Linked DNA regions of Tribolium castaneum. The protein of the gene in region 1 binds, or shares a complex with, the protein of each later gene. Links are inferred from orthologs where the notes say so. Each region holds a gene or a part of one and is shown on either strand. Other genes may lie near its edges.

The links.
Region 2: eIF3g1 (region 1) and eIF3k share a complex: the UniProt entries of both Caenorhabditis elegans proteins name them as parts of the eukaryotic translation initiation factor 3 (eIF-3) complex. The link is inferred for Tribolium castaneum from reciprocal best matches to the Caenorhabditis elegans genes eif-3.G and eif-3.K.

Annotation. Positions count from the first base shown.
Region 1 is NC_087395.1:17,787,907-17,790,769, forward strand, and holds eIF3g1 (eukaryotic translation initiation factor 3 subunit G), read left to right. Parts: upstream 1-1,247; 5' UTR 1,248-1,364; coding exon 1,365-2,210; 3' UTR 2,211-2,259; downstream 2,260-2,863. UniProt on the Caenorhabditis elegans protein: RNA-binding component of the eukaryotic translation initiation factor 3 (eIF-3) complex, which is involved in protein synthesis of a specialized repertoire of mRNAs and, together with other initiation factors, stimulates binding of mRNA and methionyl-tRNAi to the 40S ribosome.
Region 2 is NC_087402.1:8,161,574-8,164,742, reverse strand, and holds eIF3k (eukaryotic translation initiation factor 3 subunit K), read left to right. Parts: upstream 1-1,460; 5' UTR 1,461-1,567; coding exon 1,568-1,620; intron 1,621-1,680; coding exon 1,681-1,900; intron 1,901-1,952; coding exon 1,953-2,327; 3' UTR 2,328-2,372; downstream 2,373-3,169. Other genes in the region: Syx13 (syntaxin-12), read left to right, coding at 289-488, 535-941, 995-1,173; gem-associated protein 8, read left to right, coding at 2,916-2,925, 3,098-3,169. UniProt on the Caenorhabditis elegans protein: Component of the eukaryotic translation initiation factor 3 (eIF-3) complex, which is involved in protein synthesis of a specialized repertoire of mRNAs and, together with other initiation factors, stimulates binding of mRNA and methionyl-tRNAi to the 40S ribosome.

The DNA.
Region 1 (2,863 bases):
AAATTTTAGAAAATTAATTTGACTCACCTAAAATTATTTTCAGGTATTATAGGGTATTTTTGAAATTAGCTAAAATGCAAACATATGTTTTTTTAAATAGAACACCCTATATTTTTTTGCACTTTTATATAATTTATAATAATTTTCAAAGAGGACTAGATTTTTTTTTGATTTTTTTTTCAGTTTTAAAAATTATTTTCAGAATTAGATAAAGCAGTGACCGCATTTTAAAAAACTTTCTCGCCTACAGCCCGAGTAAAAGAATGTATCCTGGAAATCAGTTTAAAAAATGTGCTGTAGAACACTGTGGAATGTGACCAAAATTCGACTCTTTTTAGCTCCCTTTATTATAGTTTGGAACACATTTCTTTGGCAACCCATTGAATACATCCTTTGGATATTATGTTTGATAAAAAATAAGTTTCATCCAGTAAGCAGATCGGTCCAGGACGACCTTAGCTGGGATCCTCTATTAGCAAAATCAAATTTTTTAAAATCACGTTGCTCAATTTTTACATATTTCTCTGAATGGACGAAAATTTAATTAGATCTAATTTAGCATTCCCTTTATACATAATCGTATTTTTATTGGATTTCAGAGACATTTCAAGTTATTTTAACTCAATTTCTCTTTTTTATCTAAGGCGGCGCAGAATGTTTCTTCTCTAGAAGGCTGTGAAAGATTTTTTCTAAAGCAACAGAATCGTAGCCGTAGCCTTCTAGAAGGATACCTAAATTTTCACAAATGTCTCAATTGGCGACAATACATTTATAAATAATAAGCTGCATTTCTGCACATCATCAGAAGCAACATGAACCAAAATATCAACTATTTTAATGTAGGTATACTTACGGCGTTACACAGTTGCGACAGAAAGTTTCACAAGCAAAAAAACTTTATTATAGCCAATAAACGGATGCAAATTTAACACTCCCGACACAAATTTAACTAATTTAAGAATGCAAAACATTAACTATTGGCAAAAGAACGCAAAACACAAGTCACACATTTTCTGTGTACAAAATCTAGTAGTTGATGGTTTTCAAAGCCACCTTTCCGAATAAGTTTCCCAATTTTAAAATTTCATTACAGAATCCTGTAATTATGTGTTTGTGGGTTTGTAACACGACAGCCCCGTTTGTCGGGGTTTATTTATTAATCGGTTTATTAAATAAATTTTAAAATACATGGCTTTATTAAATATCAACAAAATTAAATTGTATTGCAAAAAACAAAAATAAATAATTTGCAACGAAATTCCCCAAAGGTTGGCGAGTCTGTTGTTTGACAGTTTGAGGTTAACTTTTGTGAACGTGATTGTCGCACCATATTTTCCAAAAAAACGTTTCAAAATTAGCTAAAAATGCCTGTTGCCGAAGAGGTCAAGTCCAGCTGGGCTGACGAGGTGGAGTTGGAGGGCGGGTCGCTCCCGCCCCCGACCGAGGTGTACGAAAACGGCTTCAAGATCGTGACCGAATACGCGTACAACGAAGACGACAAAAAAATGAAAATCGTGCGGACCTACAAGATCGAGAAGCGCGTCGTTTCAAAATCGATCGCTTTCCGCAAGACTTGGAAGAAATTCGGCGAGTGTGCCAACGACAAGCCTGGCCCGAACCCGGCCACCACGATCGTCGCCGAGGACGTGTACATGCAGTACATCACGAGCAAGGAGGAGGACAACAAGCAGGAAGACGACGCTTTGGAGAAGCTGAAGGCTCTGGGCGACAAGAACGTGGTCAAGTGCCGCACCTGCAGCGGGGACCACTGGACCTCCAAGTGCCCCTGGAAGGACACCATGCTGGCCGGGGGCAAAGTGCCCGACGACAAGAAGGGCCCGGCGGTTCCGTCAGGGTCGGATGCGGGCAAGGCCGGGGGGTCCAAGTACATTCCGCCGAGTTTGCGAGATGGGGCCGTCAGGAAGTCCGATAATCTCAATATGGCGCGCAGAGACGACGCCACGGCGATTCGAATCACCAATCTTAGTGAATCTACCACTGAGACTGATTTGGAGGATCTGGTGAAGCCGTTTGGCCCGATCCAGAAGTTGTATTTGGCGAAAGACAAACAAGCCGGTTATTGCAAAGGATTCGCTTATATTCATTTCAAGTTTAAGAACGACGCTGCTAAAGCCATTTCTATGCTTAATGGACACGGTTATGATCATCTTATACTCACGGTGGATTGGTCTAAGCCACACCCTAATTGAAATGTATTTTATAAGTTTTATTTGTATTGAATAAAAATGCTTTAGCTAATGTTGCGTTTTTTCAAACCTACAATACAACAAAATACGTAGACATTTCAGTTTTAAATAATTCGAACAGAGGTGAAGATTGGTACAGGTCTTAGGTACACTATTAAAATAAAATATAGAAAATTCTCAAGTGTTGAAACTATCAGCTCTTAGCATTTTTCGCGTAAACGGTAGGTAAACATTACGGTAACTTCTCGGAAAAATAAAAAATCCCAAGCAATTGAGTTTTTTTAACTCGAGAGGTTTGTAAAGGCATACAATACCTGATAGAACTTTGCTAAAGCTAGTTAATTGTTTTGTTTTTTTTGAAAAGGTAAAAAATCTTAGACAATAGTTTAAGAAGTCTGCAAAATATTAACTATTGCTGGCTAATTTAGCAAATAAATAAGGTTGGTTTTTGGTTATAAACTAACCAATAAAAATAAAATAAAAGGTTAATAAACTAACTAAAAGATTTATTAACCAATCAAAGAACCTTCTGGTTATTTAATATTAATAAGTAATAACTTGACTGGACAATAATTAAAATGCGAATATAGGATTTTCCTTTTATTTTTTTTTCGATTTTGCTTTTTAAACTTACGTTTATTTGTGTCAAAACAAAT
Region 2 (3,169 bases), on another chromosome or scaffold:
AAAATCGAATCGGTAGGTATTCGGTAATTTTCAATTTTAAATTTAAGTTGCACCAACCTAACAAGATTTACAAAAATAATTTAGGGTGTGATTTTTTTAACATGTATTTTTAAAATGTGAGGTATTTCAATTATTCAACAATAAGCTAATTTTGTTTCATCCCCGAGGCCACAATTGAACTCACCCCCTTGTTATAACAATAAGTCACCTGATCTTTCCTACTCCTAACCTCAGTTTTAAGTTTACGAAACGTCAAATCACAAACGAAAAGGGGCGTCGAAGACAACAATGAGTAAACATCCCTACAATTACGGTGCTACTGCGTCCACTGACGTAGGTTTCATCGGTAAGCGCTCCCCCGAATTCAATAATTTATGCGATGGCGTCGTAACAAACATTTACACAATCAACTCAAGTCTCAAGACCTTAGACAACGCTTTAAAAACAATCGGAACCAGAAAAGACAATCAGGGATTAAGAAGTTCAATGTAAGTCTTTTCCCTTCTGGAATTTCAATCACTTCCCTAATTCTAGACACGTCACTCAATTGAGCACAAACCAGATCGCATCAGTCACAAGCAAAGACATTCACAAGCTCAAGCAACTTGTATCCAAAAGCGAGAAACAGCAGCAGTTGCAAGTAGAAAAGTTAGAAGAGAATTTTAAAGAAGCGATCACGCGCTACTATTCCTTACAAAAGGACTTGGCCAACAAGCAGAAATCACATTTATTGGTTTCTGTAAGCATAGAAAATGACTACACGCCGGAAGAAGACACAGAACAGCAACGGCAAGCTCAGCTTGCACGCGAAATGGCGTTTGAGCAAGATATGCTCATGGAGAGAGAAGCTAGGATTAAACAAATTGAAGCCGATGTACTTGATGTTAACGAAATCATGCGCGAATTGGGGTCCTTAGTGCACGCCCAAGCGGAAACAATCGGTATTGAGCTAACTTTTAAAAAAATCGGGAGATTAATCAACTCTTTTTTTAAGATACTATTGAAAATAGCATAGACCATGCAACTGGCAATGTGGAAGAAGCGACAGAACAGTTAATTACAGCAGCGAGTTATCAGAATAAGTATAGGCGCAAGTTGCTATTCATGGTACTGATAGGACTTGCAATAGTTGCAATAATTATTATAATACTAGTTGTACAGTTTAAAAAGTAGCTGCGTAATATTACTTTTCTTTATAATTACTCAAACCTGTTTTTGTGGTGAATAACTGCTTGATATATTTATATACAGTATACACAGACTTTTTATAGCAACTAATCTTATCATAGAATTTATATTTATTTATGTAATTATCTTAATCACAAAATATGAATGATATTTAGTTTTTTTGTATAATTATCCATAAAATTCTATGAGAACCGCAAAAAATAAGTAGTGACATGAAACACTCTGTAGTTAAAATGTAGGCAACACATAAAACAACAGTTCCCTATCGCTTACAGCGGCCTCTGTTCCAAAAACTTTGAATTTTAAACGTCATTAAGACGTGTTTTTTGAGAAAGTTGTGCTTTTTTCTCATTTTTTAGTGAAAAACAAATTGAAAACCATGGCCGAAGCAATGAAACAAACTGTGGCAGCAATGCTTAAAGGCATTGAACGGTATTGTTATTCTTTTATTACGTTTTTTTACCATGCATTGGACTTAACCTCTATTTTCAGGTACAACCCTGATAATTTACCGACTTTGGAGCACTACGTGGAGATACAATCGCGCGAAAATGCCTACGATTTAGAGGCTAACTTGGCCGTCCTTAAATTGTACCAATTTAACCCTAGTAGCTTCAATATCGACATCACAAGTCAAATCCTGCTCAAGGCTTTGACAAACCTTCCAAACACGAATTTTATTTTGTGCAAATGTCTTTTGAACGAACGACAGGTTAATAAATTCAGTCAATATATTTGTTTTGCAAAAAAAAAACATTTTTTAGCTGGCGGAAGAACCCATCAACCAAATTATCTACTTGGCCGACATTTTGGAACAGTGCGATTTTCAATTGTTCTGGACCAGAATCCACTCAATGCCAGAGTTGACCCAACGAATTACCGGATTTTTAGACTCAATCCGGAAATTTGTGTGTCACGTAGTTGGAATCACGTATCAGACCATTGAAAGGTCCCATTTGGCCGAATTATTGGGAGACGTTGATGACCTTACGTTGAAAGTCTGGGTCAATAAGTATGGATGGAAGGAACAGGGCCAGTTGATTTTCATTGCCAATCAAGACGAAAACATCAAAACTAAAAATATTAACGAGAAAATCGATTTCGAAAATGTCGGAGCCATTATGGCTTCATGTCGCTGATTTGTATTTTAATTTTTCAATAATAAAATAAAACTACTTCGTGTCTACGGACCTCTAAATGCTAGGATACGAAACGACCAAATAAATCGTCCCCGTCCTTGATAGTTCCGTTAATATCACCAGAGAGCGCAGTTACTTGAGTTTTCAGAGCAATGAACTTGAAAAAATGGTTGCATTTGTGTAATAGTTAACACACAGCAATAAAAAAATACAAGCAAATTGGGGATTAAATTTCAATAGTAAGACAAACAATGCAAAAATTTTATCGTAAATTATATTTTAAATAAATTAAAACTTTTGGCACTGTGTCCCATATTTTTCAAAAGGCTGCGAATACGCTTACAGATACAAAAAAGTGTAAGGAACAACGTTGTAAAGAATTAAATTTCCTATCAAAAAATTCGCGACACCATATCTTTGGCACTCAAACCGTTGATGGTCTCCCAGACTTTTTAAAGGAAAATATAAATTTCTTCCTTTTATTTTATATCTTGTTTCGTCTCCTACAGAAGTAATAATCTGTATTCGTGTGATTGTTTCGGATGGGAACCCCCTCTATGTACAGTCCTGCGAATGAAGTTATACAATATGGAAGATGGTTAGTTCTAGTGTTTCATGCCAAACTCTCAAGACCAGAGTTCGAAAAAAACACCGCAGGTCCTTTAAAAGTAATTTAAACCGGCGCTCTCGCAGAAAAAGTAGTTTATTGAGGTACTACAGTACGATACGATTTAAACCTAAGGCGGACGCTTTGTGTGCGGGTATTACAGTGGTTGATATTATTGGCATGGAGTGGACGCCTGTTTCGTCTCCGGCGACAGAGGTCGCTGAGTGGCACAAAC